4 linked regions of the Macaca fascicularis genome follow. The protein of the gene in region 3 purifies or fractionates together with the protein of the main gene of each other region. This does not show direct contact. Links are inferred from orthologs where the notes say so. Each region holds a gene or a part of one and is shown on either strand. Other genes may lie near its edges.

Region 1 (3,948 bases), on a different chromosome or scaffold from region 3:
GTACAGCACTTACCCCTGTGGCCCACCTGCCTATCGTGCTATGGGCTATTCCTGGGAACTGGAACTGATGGGGATGAATGGAAGGGCGCCTGCTCTTCCGGTAGGGGCTGATCTCTTTTACTCTCCAGTAGGGGTGGAGTGGGCTGTGGAAAGATCCCTCCTGCTTATTTCTAGCCCCCCAACCTCTCTCTTCAGCTGTGGTCCACCACCCTCACTTGTGCCAGACCACCCGGGATGTCAATGGCCACCACTACCCTGGTTTCTTTTGCCCTCGTCTCTCTGATTCTCCAGAGGAAGCCTACTGCTGCCACCTGCAGGCTGCAGGGGGCTCCTGCTGCACCCGGGCTGAATTTGAGGCCCTGTACCAAGTCAACCTGTCCGCTCTTCCGCCCCCGCCCATCCTCAGGTGAGATCTCCAACCCCGGAGCCACTGGAACATCGTCAGGGTGTTCCAATATCTGGGGCTCTGTTCCTAAATTATGGGGTGGGAGGCTTGTAACTTACAGACTAGTGAAGGGACAGACCGCAACAGAAAATCATGTAGATCATGATTACAATTACAAGGGAGAAGTTCAGGGGGCTGTGCAAGCGGGTAATAGGGAGCCATACTGAATCTGCCCATGGGTGGCTCTAGGATGAGCTCCTAAATTCGTATGCAAATGTGTGTATGTAAGACTACACTTATTTGGGGATGGAGTCCCGAGCTTTCTCCGGACTCCCAGGGGTTCTGTACTCCCACAGAGCGCAGCAGCCAGAGCGCGGCCAGGGCCGGGATCCAGATACTTTTTTCTCTCCCGCAGGGGCCCAGGACAACTCCTAGTGCTGGGCCTCTACAGCCTACTGGTTGTGACCCTGATGACCGCAGACCTTGTGCACTTCTGCTGCGATCGGGGCCGGGGTCGGGGCTGGAGCCACCGCAGGCCTCCCTCCGGGTCCTCCGCCGTGAACTCCTGCAGGTCTCCGCGGGGACAGCTTAGGCGCGCCCGGAGCTTGCCTGCACCTGCGATCCAGAGTCGAGTGCCCCGCCCCTGCCCGGGCGCGCTAACTCTTTAGCCCTGCCCCTCTCTGACTCCACCTCCGACGCAAGAGTGGGGCGGGGCAGCTCCCGGCAGCGTCCGGAGCCAGACTCGTCCCGCCCCAGAGACTGCGCCTGCGCGGGCACGGGACAACCTCTCCGCGATGACTGTGAGTGGTCCAGGGACCCCCGAGCCCCGGCCGGCCACCTCCGGGGTGCGTACCCAATCCCCGCGCCATCACCCCTTCGCACCCGCCCTGACCATCCCAGGCCTCCTTCTCCCCATCCATGAGGCTCGTGCCTATCCCTCCTCTTCTCCAGGGCTCTGCCCCGAACCCCCTCCGACGTTTCCGCCCCCTTTCTCTCTACAGGCCAGCTCAGTGGAGCAGCTGCGGAAAGAGGGCAACGAGCTGTTCAAATGTGGAGACTACGAGGGCGCCCTGGGGGCCTACACTCAGGCCCTGGGTCTGGACGCGACGCCCCAGGACCAGGCCATTCTGCACCGGAACCGGGCCGCCTGCCACCTCAAGCTGGTGAGGGAGCCTGGCGCTCTTCCCCTTGCCTGCCGGGCCCCGGTTCGCCCATCTCAGCTGATGCTTGGGCCCCAGCTGGGAATTCAAGCTCCCAGGCCATCCCCGCTTGCCAGATGTCTTTTGCACCTCAGCGTGAAGGGGGATCGGGTGACCTTGGACAGCGAGAGTACCCCTGCTGCCTGGTTAGTGCCCCGAAAGGGAGATGACCATTCTTTCAGGCTGCTGTCTTTCTCTTACAGGAAGATTACGACAAAGCAGAAACAGAGGCATCCAAAGGTAGGGGAATGGTGGACCCTCGTGTGGAGCTGTAGGGCTTCTGTGGTGGGCAAGGACTCTGGGACCGCTGCACCATCACATTCTCCTCCTTTGGCCCCAGAGACACATCTGCCTTCTTTCTTTCCCACTGCCTCGGGCCTTTCCTTTTCTGCAGCTACCCTCACCTTTTCTGAGGCTGAAGCACCGAGCCCCACATTCGTCCCCCTACCTTCTGGCCTTTCCTCGAGATCTTTCCCTACTGCTCTTGCCTGGAGATGGTGGCCTCATGGGTGCTGACAGCGCTCCTGTTTGTGCTCAGCCATTGAAAAGGATGGTGGGGATGTCAAAGCACTCTACCGGCGGAGCCAAGCCCTAGAGAAGCTGGGCCGCCTCGACCAGGCTGTCCTTGACCTGCAGAGATGTGTGAGTTTGGAGCCCAAGAACAAAGTTTTCCAGGAGGCCTTGCGGAACATCGGGGGCCAGATTCAGGAGAAGGTATGTGAGTGACCCAGAGAGGTGGAAGCTTGACTGGTGGTGGTGAAGGGATCTGGGCCAGGGGTGCAGACACAGTTCTCCAGACAAGAGATACTGATGGCAAGTGAACATATAGAATTCTGGTTAACCTTGCCTGTGGCCAGGGAAAAGCAAATTAAGATGACAGCGTGTTACTGTTGATTTGGAGGTCTGTTTGGCAGACATTTAAAAGTTTGTATACTTTTCAAGAAGGAGAGAGGCAGACACATCAGTGGTGAGGCTGGTACAGCTCTTTTGGAGAGTACTTTAGCATATCAAATTTGAAATGAGCGTATCTTTTGATCCCATATGTTTACTTCTTGCTGTTTCTCTCACAGAAACCTTGCCCACATGCACAAGTAGACATGTGTATGTTTATTTCAGCCTTTTTTGTAGTAAAAGCTTGGAACTTGCCTCAATGCCCAGCCATAGAGGAATGGCTGAATAAATTGGGTAATGTCCTTACTAGAGACTCTTACATAGTTACTGAGAATGGGTAGATACACACATATTGAAATGGAAAGCTCTGGGACACTTGTTGAATAAACAAAGCAAAATAGGCAGGGCATGCTGTCTCATGCCTGTAATCCCAGTGCTTTGGGAGGCCAAGACGGGACGATCACTTGAGGCTAGGAGTTTGACACCAGCCTGGGCAGCATAGTGAGACCCTGTTGCTACCAAAACTTAAAAAGTTAGCTGGGTGTGTTGGCACACCCTTGTAGTCCCAGCTACTTGTGAGGCTGAGGCAGGAGAATCCTTTGAGCCCTGGATTTTGCAGTTACAGTGAGCTATGATTGTGTCACTGCACTCCAGCCTGGATGACAGAGTGAGGCCCTGTCTCTTTTGAAAAAGAAAAGAAGAAAAATATATGATAACACATATAGTATTATATCATTTATGTTAATGATCCCCTGCATAGCAAAATAATGCTATATTTTTTCTGTGGGTACACTTGGGTATATAAATACAAAGGAAAATATTTAATTTAATTTATTTATGTATTTATTTATTTATTTTTTGAAACAGAGTCTTGCTGTGTTGCCCAGGCTGGAGTGCAGTGGCGTGATCTCAGCTCACTGCAACCTCTGCCTCCCAGGTTCAAGCAATTCTCCTGCCTCAGCCCCCCAAGTAGCTGGGACTGGGACTACAGGGGCGTGCCACCACGCCCAGCTAAGTTTTTGTACTTTTAATAGAGACAAGGTTTCACTGTGTTGGCCAGGATGGTCTGGAGCCCCTGACCTCGTGATCTGCCCACCTCGGCCTCCCAAAGTGCTGGGATTACAGGTGTGAGCCACTGCACCCAGCTGAAAATATTTTATTTTTAAAATTTATTTTTATTTTTATTTTTTTGTTTATGTATTTTGAGACAGGGTCTCACTCTGTCACCCATGCTGGAGTACAACCTCTGCCTCCCAGGCTCAAGCGATCCTCCCACCTCAGCCTCCCAAGTAGCTGGGACAATGCGTGTCACCACGCTCGCCTAATTTTTATATTTTTGGTAGAGACAGGGTTTTACTGTGTTGCCCAGGTAGCTGGTCTTGAGCTCCTGGGCTCAAGGGATCTACCCACCTCAGCCTCCCAACTTGCTGGGATTATAGGTGTGAGCCATGGCACCGGGCCAAATATGCATTT
Region 2 (3,992 bases), on a different chromosome or scaffold from region 3:
ATAATTCAACAGAAAAAAAATTTTTTTAATTATGCTGCCTAAAAAAAAAAAAAAAAAAAAAAAAAAAAAAGCTCATTCCAAATATGTCAGAATGTGACCAGTCAGCCCTGAAGGATTTCGTTACTAAAAAAATAAAATCTCCCAAATGCAATGGCGATGATGGGAAATGTCAAACCTCTGCCATTGTCAAATATATTTCACAGAGATAATATATTTGACTTATTCCACTTAAACATCCAAATTTCCACAAAATCGGGTTGGGAATCTATGGACTGGGGCCACCAGTTTTTCCAAGACCAGCTAGTGGCTGGCAAAAGGGGCAAACGGTTTCCTTTCTTGCCCCAGGTGACCCATCACCAATTTCCAAGCCAAGGTCCCTCCAAGATCCCACCCTGCAAGTCCTAACAATATGCTCTTTTTGGACAGAAACATTATAACTTTTGGGGGGTAGGCTCAAAATCCCCAGCAAGTTCAATCAGATACTAATTTATCACAAAACCCTTCATCGTTGGGTGGGTACTTTATTTTCATCTGTCAAATTTCAATTCAGTCAATATTTATTTGCCTTCTTAAATTTTTTTTTTTTTGTTTCACCTTCATTTGATTCATTTTAAGGCCAAAACCTCCTCATGAAATATTGTTTGCATATATGCTTTCATATTCCAAAGGCAAACCTTGGGTTTGGCTTTTGTTTGTATTTTGATTATTTTTCCTTTATTTTGTTGCTGCTAAAATCAGCTGAGTTGGTGTTTTATCACATTTCTTCAGCAAAGTAAGTGTTCTACCAAGGAAGATAGATAAGAATTAGAATTTTCATCTCCTTTTTGCCCATCCCTCTTTTATCTTTTTCTTGTTAAGTCAGTAAAATTTGTGCTTTTTTTTTGGTCACAAACTCCCCAAAATGATTAAGGCTAATGGATTTTTTTCCCCCTTTGAAAGTAATCAGGTTTCTGAAAAATAACAAATATTGATAAACTACCAACCTCACATCACAGTCAAAGAGGCCTGAAACCAATCTAAATTTTTTTTTAAGTAATAAATTTTTCAAATTGGAAGAGTGAACAAGACAGAAAAGGGAAAATTTTCTTCCTTACCAAGGATTCCTCAATCCTTGTCTTCATCAATTGATTTAGTTGCATGTCATAAAAAATGAGCTTCTGTGAATCCACTGTTAGTTTTTTCATAATAATGTTAATTATGCATATCTTATTTTAATGGCGGTCTCTCCTACAAATCTGTGGGTTACTCAATTTGTATAATGTATGAATTTACATTTTTTCCACTGAATATTGCTCAAAAAAGGTCCCTGACATTTTCTGGATAAAACAACAACAAAAAAGAAATGCCTAGACCTTTCAGGAAACAAAATCAGAAAACAGTCTTAATTATTCCATCAAAACAAAACAAAAAAAATACCCACACACAAAACCCAACAAATAGAGAAAAAAAGAAAGAAAGGATTTCACTGTAACTTTTTCCGTTTCTGTTTTCTTTAGAATCTTAGGATTTAAATGCAGTAAAATGTAAATGCAAAATTAAAAAAAAAAAACAACTACAATTTTTGGGTGTGTCCAAAGCCAACATTTTAGGGTCTATTTTCTCTTTTAAATCCTTCCTTCGTGGAAATAGAAAAACTTTAAATATTGCCAAATAGAGAAATTAGTCTTTTTTTGCCCGCTGAGCTAAATAAGTTCCAAATTACAATGAAGTACAATTTCTAATTGCTTCATAAAGCCAATTCTCTCAGTTTTCCCTAAACTCAACAATTTCCCTCCTTTCTTTATTCCAATTAGTTTTTTTCTCAAACTAAAATGAGTTGGGCACCCAAACTGACTTTGCTTTTAGGAGATTTTTTGCTTTCTCCCCTCCAAGAACTGAATTCATTCAAATTCCAGCTTAATTTTCATTTACATATTATCTGGATTTGGCTTCAGAAATAAAAATTGTCTCCATGCTTCTGGAAAGATCAAAGTGAAAATTTTCACCCGAAAAAAGAAAAAAAAAGAATCTCTTACCCCTCCACTGCCTGGTAGTGCAAACTTTTGAAAAAATAAGAAATAAAAAATATTTCTTTTCAATTTTAATTTCTTTTTTTATTTACAAAATAGTATCCTCTAGGTGGCGTCGTTTTAATGGGAAAAAACTACCGTTTGAAGAAAAATTAGAAAAAAAAAATTGAGAAAGGAAAATATGGCCTAAAAAAAAAAAAGATTGTTGCAAAAATGGGGGATCTGGGGGGAAACACCTCCCGGGGGGTCATCGGGGACCCCGAGCGCAGAGAGGGTCAGGGGAAAATTGCAAATTTGGGGGGGAGGGGGCAGAGCTGGAAGGGGTTGCATTTTTGCAAAATGTGAATTGTCCAAACTGAAATGGCTGCTCTGTTCTCTCGCCGCTTTGTTTTCTGGGCTCCGGTCCGAGCCCGGGGCCGGAGGGGGCGCTGGGTGGGGGCCCCAAAAGACCCCCTCGTCACCCCCAACCTCCTCGCACCCCGCAGCGCCCGGGGGGGTGCTCTCCGGACCCCGACTCTCCCGTTTGCGCCCACAAAAAGCTCGCAAACGTGCCCAGGCACTTTGCATTTTGCAAATCTTGCAATGAAGTGGCGCAGCGCCCCGGGCCCCGGCCCCCCGGGGTCCCCCGCGCGGTGCATGCCCCCGGCCCCCCGTCGTACCTGCGGAGCCGCCGCGCCGCCCGGCTGGTTCATGGGTCCGTGCGGGAGGAGGCGGCCCCGGCGCGTCCTGCTCCTCCCGGGCCGGGCTGCTGGTGCGCGCACAATGCCGCCGCCGCCGCCGCCACCGCCGCCGCCGCCGCCGCTCCCTCCTCCGCCCGCCCCGCTCAGGCCGGGGGGGCGGGGGCGCTGGGGGCGCGCGGGGGGGGCGCCGGCCCTCGCCCCCACCGCCGGCCTGCACCGGCCGCGCCGCGGCAGCCGCTGCCGCCGAGCCGCCCCTCGCGGGGCCGCCGCCGCCCCCCGCCGCCCTGCCCGCCCCCGGGCCGGCCTCGCCGTGCGGCCCGCGAGCTCGGGGCCTCGGCCTCGGCCTCCGCGCTGCCGGCCTCCGCGCGGCACACAAAGCCGGCCGGTCCAGGGGCGCGCCCGCCCTCCCGTCCGCCAGCCCCAGGGCAGTGGCGCACCCGCCCCCCAAACTTTCCCGCGCCGCGCCCTGCCCTCCCCGCGCCCCCGCGCCCGCCCCCCGTCTCCCTCCTGCCCTCCCCCAGTCCTCCAGCCCCTCGGAAATGTCATTTTCACACTGGAAAAAAGTTCGGGGAGCCGGCGGAACGCAAGAGGTTAATGGGAATTCAGTACCCTGCTGTACCCCCCCCCAAAAAAAAAAACAGATTGATTTTTGAAATAAAAGTTTTCAAGAGCTGGCTTGCTGAAAGACTGGAAGGCTTACCGGGAATATTCTATTGCCCTGCCACTCCTCCCCAAAAAACTAATGTAATAAAATAAAAGTTTGAAGGACTGGTCCCATGTCAGACAAGAGGGGTTAAGAGGAGTCTAGCCCCCTAGCCAGACTGATTTTTAAAATAAATATTTGAGGAGCCGCTTTTATGTGAAATGCCAGTGAAACGGCTGTTTCTGCCTATCCTCGCCAAATGAAAAAATATATGTGTGTATATATATATATATTTCCAAATAAAAGTTTGAAAAACTCCTCCTACAGTAAGACAAGAGGGGTTAAAGGTTAAGGGGTATTAGGCCCCCCCTCCCCCCCCCGCGCATATCCACCAGTCAGGTTGATTTAGAAAAGGAAAATTTGAAAAACTTCTATGTGAAATAAAATGTGAACCAGGAATTTTTTTTCCAACACCCCAAAAGAGTCAGGTTTTTTGTTGTTGTTGTTTTTTGTTTTTTTACTTGAGCAACTGCCTCCTTGTGACTTGGGAAAGTTTAAAAGAGATTTTTTTTTTTTCTGTTCTCTTCCCCATTCTCCTAAAAAATCAGATTTTTTAAAAACTGAGCGTGTGAAGGACCTGTCCTATTAAAGAGACAAGGG
Region 3 (4,153 bases):
AATTATTTTTTTGAGAGAGGGTCTCTCTGTTGCCCAGGCTGGAGTGCAGTAGCGTGATCTAGTCTCACCGCAACCTCCGCTTCCGAGTAGCTGGGGTTACAAGTGTACGTCATCACACCCAGCTAATTTTTGTATTTTTAGTAGATACGGGGTTTCGCCATGTTGGCCAGGCTGGTCTCGAACAACTGACCTCAAGTCATCTGCCCGCCCCGGCCTCCCAAAGTGGTGGGATTACAGGCGTGAGCCACTGCGCCCAGCCCTCATTTCTATTTTAATTAAATTTTATTTAAGATAGGCTTAGCTTAAATGTTTACGACTGAGGTCTGACTTAAGATGATAGCATAAACCATGGAGCTTTCTTTTGTGAACATTACTATTACTCAACCCAATTTTCCCAGGTCAAATTTTGTAATACAAAACGTGGTCAAGATTTGATTCTCTGATCGATTTTTAGTAAAAAAGAAAAAAATTTCCGTGTAGCTTTAAATGTTGTCAATTAAATTTTGTAATAGTTACCTCTACTCTGTTCAGGTTAATACTGCGGTTTTCAACATGACCAACATACGATTCTTTGTTGTTGTTTTGGTGGGGTTGGGGGGCATAACAGTTTTTTCACTCTTGTTAAATTAATTTTCTGTTGATTCCATCTATCCCTAATCTTCACTATGAACAAGATACTGGGTTTTCTTCTGAAGATCAAAAGTGGTAGTGAGGCAATAATGCAAAGACGTAGGACGGCAGGGGGATTCCGGCTTCTTTCTTTTTTCCCCTCCTGTGGAAAGAGGGTCTATAACACTCCGTAGTAGAGAAGAAAATTCTAATTATGAAGGGTAATTAGCTAGGTTTTGCTATAACCGAGAGCCCTGAACGATTCCTCAACGCGGGCTGCTTTTCTCTTCCTCTCCACCAGAGGCGATAGCCTCTTTCCAAACAGAAACTGGGTTGGAATAGGCCGGTCCTGGGGAGCGGCCAGAAGAAAGATCAAAGGTTAAAAACCGCCTCAAAGAGCAAAGGTCAATACCCAACTCCTAAGGAGGCCTGACACGAAACATGAAGGTGACTCCTCCCAACATCGAGGCCTGGGGCCACTCAGCCTTCCAGAGACCCTGCGGGTCCGAGGCGAGTAACAGGTAACACCGGCTGAGCCGCCGCCGACCGGAAGTGGAAGAAAGCCCGGGGCGGGGTGAGGCAGGCCGCGGCACGCCTGCGCAGTCAGCAGGAGTTGCAGCGCTCATGCGCTACTGGGCGGTGACAGGGTGACGCTCGGAGCGTGGGCCGCGACTCTCACGGATCCGGTTCCGCCCTCTAGCTGCCGATCCTTCGGAGCGAGCGCCCCAGATCCCTTTCCCAGAGTGCTCTGCGCCGTGAAGAAGCGGCTCCCGGGGACTGGGGGCATTTTGTGTTGGCTGGAGCTGGAGTAACAAGATGGCGGCGTCGGCGGAGTGACAGGGGTCCCTCAGGGCCGGAGCCGGCGGCAGTGGTGGTAGCTGTATCGCCGCCCTAGCTCACCGCGCCCCTTTTCCAGCCCGCGACGTCGCCGCGCAAGCGAGGCAGCGGCGGCCGCCGAGAAACAAGTGGCCCAGCCTGGTAACCGCGAGAAGCCCTTCACAAACTGCGGCCTGGCAAAAAGAAACCTGACTGAGCGGCGGTGATCAGGTTCCCCTCGGCTGATTCTGGGCCCCGAACGCCGGTAAAGGCCTCCGTGTTCTGTTTCCTGCCGCCTTCCTCCGTAGCCTTGCCCAGTGTAGGAGCCCCAGAGGCCTCCGTCGTCTTCCCAGAGGTGTCGGGGCTTGGCCCCAGACTCCATCTTCGTCTCTCAGGATGGCGAGTAGCAGCGGCTCTAAGGCCGAATTCATTGTCGGAGGGAAATATAAACTGGTACGGAAGATCGGGTCTGGCTCCTTCGGGGACATCTATCTGGCGATCAACATCACCAACGGCGAGGTAATCACCTGGGGTGGGGTTCACGATAACGCTGCGCTTTTCCTCATTCCCCCCACCACCACCGCGCACCCCCAAAGTGCTCGGGCCTCTCCTCACCGCACGCACTCGCCAGGGAGTCCAGGGAGCTAGTTTTCCTGGCTTGCGATCCTCGCCCGCTCTCTCCCTAAAAGGGTCAAGAACCCGATAGAAAAGGGTGGGGGAACTAGTTTCCCAGCTTGTTAAACACTTCCCATAAATGTCCCTTGGTCGAGCTGTTTTTTTTTTAACCGACTTTTAAGGTGGAAACGGCAAAATCCTCTTTCTGTGATTCCCATGCTTTGCTTTTCTTTTCTTTTATTTAATTTTTAATCCTGCTGGGCCTCTTGTTCCAATTAGAACAGTTTCCGATCGCCTAGTTCCTTAAAAACCTCTCACTACGTTCAGAGGTTGCCTCTTTTTTCTGGATGAATCATTTTCCTGCACTTTAGAGGACGTACGATTTCGTCACTACCCCCTGAAGAGGCCTTTGAGGCTGGTTGCCTCGTTTTATAATTACAGAGAGCTTTCTCTTTCCAGCTTTTCACTTCTTCCTTGTAGTCGCGACTTGGAGTTTTGCTAATGTCTCTCTCCTTTCCTAAATGACACTGAATCCGTAGGGATGTTGATGCCATCATCCCCTCTTTCCCCTGCAGGAAGTGGCAGTGAAGCTAGAATCTCAGAAGGCCAGGCATCCCCAGTTGCTGTACGAGAGCAAGCTCTATAAGATTCTTCAAGGTGGGGTTGGCATCCCCCACATACGGTAAGAACCCCGTGCATGTAGGCGATCCGCTGAGGGAAGCACGGAATGGGGAAGTGGGTAGAGGCAGGTAATGAGACCAGCTGAATCCGGGTCTTGTTTTGGTTACCTGGGTTCCTTGTAGCTGGTGCCTTCCTGTAAGTCATCGCAATCACTGAGTAAATTTCAATTTGCCAACTTATTTCATTGTATTACACTGCTCCATTTCGCTTCCGTCATTCTCTTCCCGAGGCTTTCGTTTGCAGTTATGCGTGCGGGTCATCTTTGATCCCTACGCGGAAGGGTTGGCTGCTGCCTTTTTTACGGCGGCACGTCTGATGTTCTTAGGTTTGTCCAGTGAAGTGGATTTGAAGGTGCTGAAGCGACCCGGCGGTGTCAGTTCGAGTTGCTATTGGAGCTGGCTTGGGAAATGGCTGCTCTTTTGTTGTGTTTTTGTTCCAACATGTCTTCCTCCTCCGCTTAGAAAATGGCGGAACGACGTGACTCAACCCCATATTCCTGCCCTTTTCTCAGCTTGGGTTCACAAATTATGCTTCCTTGATTCCTCCTTTAGCAGCCCCGAGTGGATTAAACCTTTGAAAAGCCAAGAATAAAGCTGCAGGAGGCGGTGTGGGGGTTCGAGGAAGGAGATGGCATAGTGACAATGTTTGTGATCTCTGCAGCAGATGTGACATGAAATTGTTGAATTATACTATGTAAAATCCTTTGTGGTTCTTTTAAAAGTGTTAATTACTCTTTCCTTTCGTGAATGGTCATATTTGGCACATTTCAGTCGGGACTAAATTTGTATAGGTAATGGCAAAGGCAGTTTGAGCAGCACCAACTATGTTAAAATTTACTCAAATCAATTGTATTAAAAGAAATCTTAATCACTTAGCCACACTTTGATAAGTAATTTTAACCTGTTGAGTTTGGCAGTAAATCTTAATATCAGAGAAATTGCGGCCTTTGTTGGTGTGGAATATTGGTGAGTGCAAATTGCAGTAACGCGGATAAAAGATGACGAGATAGAAAGACATTGTTCTGTCAAATGGTTAACTTTACTTTGGAGGGTTTTAGAGTAATGTTTTAACTTTTGGGATTAAAGAGCCTCTTCATGGAATGGAGACTAAAATATAGTTTAAAACCAAGCTATTTTTCAGCAACAATCTAAAATACCTTTTGCAAAAATATTCAGAATAGGTGAGAATGGTGTTTACTGTTTGCTGGAGACTCTCTTTTTTTTTTTTTGAGACTGAGTTTTCGCTCTTGTCGATCAGGCTGGAGTGCAGTGAATGGCACGATCTTGGCTCACTGCAACCTCTGCCTCCTGGGTTCAAGCGATTCTAGTGCCTCAGCCTCCTGAGTAGCTGGGATTACAGGCGCCCGCCACCACACCCAGCTAATTTTTGTATTTTAGTTTCACCATGTTGGCCAGGCTGTACTCGAACCCCT
Region 4 (4,001 bases), on a different chromosome or scaffold from region 3:
TGAAGGACTGTGAGTTACCCAAGGGGAGTCAAGGCCTACCCCAGCTCACCTGCCTCCTTAATATCACAAGGGCCCCAGGGTTAGACCATACGTGGCTGAGGGGGAGGGGGGCCCAGGCTCTGTCCTCCAGTGTGGCATTCTCACTGCGCTTGTGGGGAACCTTCAGCTGCCCTACCTTGGGAAGCCAGAGACCTGGGGTCAGGGATGCTAGGAATTAGGTCTAGGGCTCTAGCTGCAGGAGCCTGGCTGAGATCCTTCATTGCCTATGGGGAATCTCCCTGATGGGACTTACTCAGGACCCCGGGGGATCGGTTTGGAAGGGGCAGTCCTATATAGGGGTTAGGGATGGCAGGGTGAGAGGTCCCAGCCTCTGGTGAGGGGCATTCCCTGGCCTCCTCTGCCCTGGTCCCAGTCCTTGGGTCCTGATGGGGGGACTACAACAAGGAAGCACTAGGACAGTCTACTTACTCCCAAGACATCACTCATCCTACAACATTCATCATAAGGCCAGTCTCACCCAGAGCCGCAGAGAGGCGGTGAAGCTGTAGGTAGGTAGGTAGGTAGATAGATAGATAGATAGATAGGTAGATAGATAGATTTTTTTTTTTTTTTTAACAAGAGTCTCGCTCTGTCGCCCAGCCTGGAGTGCAACGGTGCAGTCATGGCTCACTGCAACCTCCGCCTCCCGGGTTCCAGCGATTCTCCTGCCTCAGCCTCCCGAGTAGCTGGGACTACAGGCGCGCGCCACCATGCCCGGCTAATTTTTGTATTTTTAGTAGAGACGGGATTTCACCATGTTGGTCAGGCTGGTCTCGAACTCCTGACCTTAGGTGATCCGCCCCCAGCTCGGCCTCCCAAAGTTCTAGGATTACAGGCATGAGCCACCGCGCCCGGCCGATAGTTATATTAATCCTTCCTTTCGTTTATGGATCTCAGGAAAAGGGCAGACTTGGTCGGGAGAGTAGACCCACCAGAGCTTCAGATTCCAAAGCCCCCCTGGTCAGGGTCACTGCGGCAACCAGAGCCTCAGCCCTCTGGTCTCGGCGTCACTAGAGGATAGGGGCTGGGCCTCGGGAAGGCGGGGCGCGCCCTTTGGAAGGCGCGGAACTGTTGTGAGAGCCGAGCGCGTTGCTGCCCGGAGGCTCCTACGCCACGGCCCGGCAGCTTGAGGGCCGGGCGCCGGAAGTGAGCTATTCGGAGGCGCCGCCGGGAGCTGCCACGTCCGAGACCCGGAGCAGCCACCGCCACAATCATGGTGAGTGTTGGGACTGAGGAGGCCGAGCAGGGTGAAGGCCACGGTCGCAGCCCTCACGGGTTCCTCGGCCGTGCTGAGTCCCAAATCCTAAGCTCCCCTCCACCCACCGCTTAGAGATCTGGGGAGCTCTGGCCCCGTCCTTGCGGACCATTCCGAGCGGAGTCCAGAGGTGAAGCCAAAGAACCTCCCTGACTCTGCGGGGCGCGCCGCTGCCGCGTCTCCTGCCAGCCTCCTTCCTTCTCTTCCAACAATTGAATACAAAACGAGAAACAGCAGAGGAGCTACTCTATACCGAGCCCTCAGCATTGTTCGTAATCTCAGCCTGCTAACATGCTTGTGAAGAAGGTGCCATTCTTCTCAACACTTTACAGATGAGGACACTTGAGGTTCGGAGACGTGGAGCCTCTTGCACAGCTGCTTAAGTGGTAGAGCCGAGATTTGAACCCTTCTAACCATTCCTTTCTGCCGCCTACTACATCCCCTAGCAGAGATGATTGGACAGTTGCTCGGGATAGGGCCCCCAGGTAGGATGGGCACCTCGGGAAACGTGAAGATGGCCTGAACGACCCTCCGAAGGCAGGGGCTCAGGGTTTTTTAAGTCTCTGTGGCATCTGCAGTGTACATTCACTCCACACTTACTCCTTGAGTGAATGAATGACTGAATGAGAACTAAAGAATGGAAGTATCCGGGCTGAGCCTGGCATATCTAGTACATGCATTCTTTTAGAAACATGGGTGTGCCTCAGCAGCAGGTTTGAGGGAACCTGCAGGAACCTAGAAATCAGAACACTGTGTTCTTGCTCTGCAGAGGGTTAGGTGTAAATCACTCACCTCTGGCTCTTCCACTGCAGGTTAGAGTTGAGGCTCTTATGCTCTGACATTGAGCTCATCCTAAATGAATTTTTAACTCATTATCTGATTTCAAAGAGGTGAATTATTTTGAGTACAGGTGTTAACAGGGACCAGATAACACCAGGTCCCTGGGAAGAAGTACTCTAAGAAGTTAGTTCTCTCTCTCTCCCCCCTCTCCCCCCACTACCCTCTCCCTCTCTCTCCCTCTCCCCCCTCCCCCTTCCTGCCTCCTTCCTCCCTCCTTCCCTCCTTTTCTCTCCCCCTCCTTCTTTCCTCCCCCCCCGCCTCTCTGTCTCATTCAGAAGCATGGTTCATCAACCGTGACTGGTGGGTGAGAGTGGTTAGAATTAAATGTTGATTATTTCTAAGGTCCTTTGGTAACACGGCTGAAACTACTTCTCAGTAAACTTTCTTCCTGAACCTACTTATCCTCAGCTTTACAGAACTCAGTGTAACAACTGCTTTACATTTTAGACAGGCAGCCTGGTGGAGTGAAGTTTTGTGGACTGGGAGTTAGAAGGTTAGAGAATGGGGCTCTTTTCCCAGTTCTGCCTTTACCTAGCTCTGTGACTTTGGCAAGTGCTTTCTCTTCTCTGGGCTTCTTCAGTTCCTTAGTCTGTTGTAGGTCTCTGATTGACTCTGCCCTTGGTACCCTGCCCTCCCCGCCTTCCCGTGCACTTTGTAACCTATACAGCTTGGCACATGGAGGAAACTCCTTATTGTCCTTACTTGCCTTTGCAGACTTCGGGGACCTGTTTTTTAGAGAGTCTAGAATTTGATGAGAGAACCTGTGCTTACTTGGTGTGTACCTCTTGAACTGCTTTGCAGCCATCCTCTTCCAGTGTCTGCCTTTCTGAAAACACAAGTCAAACTTTATACCTACAGGGCTTGTGCTGGAAAAGATGAAATGGGGAAAATGGTAAGAAATGTCTGTTCCACAATGAAACTTCTTTTAAGTCTTCTTTTCTGTCCCAAGAATTTAAGAGAATAGTGGTTGAGCAAAGAAAAAAAAAACACCTTTTGTTCATTTACTTATTCATTCAGCAAATAGTCACTGAGTTCCTTCTATTTGCAAAGCACTGTGCTGGATGATTTGAGGGGATTTGAAACTGCAGATGGCTCAGACTGTGGATCCAAGGAGCTCACCTTCTAGTGGGGAGAAGAAACAGCATAAAATGTTGTTTGTGGTCAGTGCTGAAGATGTGCAAGAGAGTCCAGCCATTTGAGGATCTGAGAATCAAGAAAGGTGATGGGTGGCCCTTTTTGAGCTGGACTTCAGAGAATGGAGAGGAGGGTGATGACCATGACACCATGTTCCAGCCCTACAAACTGTTCAATCCTGGATCCCACTAGGTGATGGACCAGGGAGCAGCCTCAGGAAAAACTCTAATCAAGTCTCCCAGTCTGAAGTAATGACTTTGTTAGGCATAAACTGCCTGGAACATCAGAGGCTCTGTCATCCAGGAAAGGAACACCAGCTGTAGCTCCCTTGTGGTCTCTCCTCACCCTTAAGAGTAGCCAGGACTGCTTGCCATTTCCCCACACACATCAGGCTCTCAGACCTCTTTGTCTCTCCTCATGTATTCCCTCTGCTTGGCTGCTTGGACTGGTATTTTCTCCTGTGCCACCTGCAAATTCCTACCCATCATCTAAGGCTCAATTCATGTCTACCACCCCACCCCTCAGGCTCCTATGGGACACTCAAACCACCATTACAGAATTTATCTTGCCACACTAGCATTATTCGTGAGCTTCTCAAGGGCAAAAGTTCCTCTTTGTGTATCTAGTTCCTGGCACAGTGCTTGGCAAAAAGAAGGTACTTAGAATGAATGCTTACTGAGTGAATGAATGAATGAACGAACGAATGCAGTCGTTCGTTGAGATGGTTGTATTC

What was found.
Region 1: the proteins of CSNK1A1 (region 3) and UNC45A purify together in Homo sapiens (affinity purification with mass spectrometry; 4 studies listed by BioGRID and IntAct, with this or other methods). This does not show direct contact. The link is inferred for Macaca fascicularis from reciprocal best matches to the Homo sapiens genes CSNK1A1 and UNC45A.
Region 2: the proteins of CSNK1A1 (region 3) and ZNF618 purify together in Homo sapiens (affinity purification with mass spectrometry; 3 studies listed by BioGRID and IntAct, counting the BioPlex papers as one, with this or other methods). This does not show direct contact. The link is inferred for Macaca fascicularis from reciprocal best matches to the Homo sapiens genes CSNK1A1 and ZNF618.
Region 4: the proteins of CSNK1A1 (region 3) and SEC13 purify together in Homo sapiens (affinity purification with mass spectrometry; 4 studies listed by BioGRID and IntAct, with this or other methods). This does not show direct contact. The link is inferred for Macaca fascicularis from reciprocal best matches to the Homo sapiens genes CSNK1A1 and SEC13.

Annotation. Positions count from the first base shown.
Region 1 is NC_088381.1:75,486,992-75,490,939, forward strand, and holds the start of UNC45A (protein unc-45 homolog A), read left to right. Parts: upstream 1-1,139; 5' UTR 1,140-1,179; coding exon 1,180-1,230; intron 1,231-1,386; coding exon 1,387-1,548; intron 1,549-1,787; coding exon 1,788-1,824; intron 1,825-2,122; coding exon 2,123-2,298; intron 2,299-3,948.
Region 2 is NC_088389.1:44,232,699-44,236,690, forward strand, and holds the start of ZNF618 (zinc finger protein 618), read right to left. Parts: upstream 2,810-3,992; 5' UTR 2,702-2,809; coding exon 2,669-2,701; intron 1-2,668. UniProt on the Homo sapiens protein: Regulates UHRF2 function as a specific 5-hydroxymethylcytosine (5hmC) reader by regulating its chromatin localization.
Region 3 is NC_088380.1:156,431,313-156,435,465, reverse strand, and holds the start of CSNK1A1 (casein kinase I), read left to right. Parts: upstream 1-1,349; 5' UTR 1,350-1,821; coding exon 1,822-1,944; intron 1,945-2,615; coding exon 2,616-2,722; intron 2,723-4,153.
Region 4 is NC_088376.1:148,634,695-148,638,695, reverse strand, and holds the start of SEC13 (protein SEC13 homolog), read left to right. Parts: upstream 1-1,192; 5' UTR 1,193-1,252; coding exon of another isoform or gene 1,253-1,255; exon of another isoform or gene 1,256-1,626; 5' UTR 1,627-1,680; exon of another isoform or gene 1,681-1,779; intron 1,780-2,848; 5' UTR 2,849-2,885; coding exon 2,886-3,026; exon of another isoform or gene 3,027-3,923; intron 3,924-4,001. UniProt on the Homo sapiens protein: Functions as a component of the nuclear pore complex (NPC) and the COPII coat. At the endoplasmic reticulum, SEC13 is involved in the biogenesis of COPII-coated vesicles.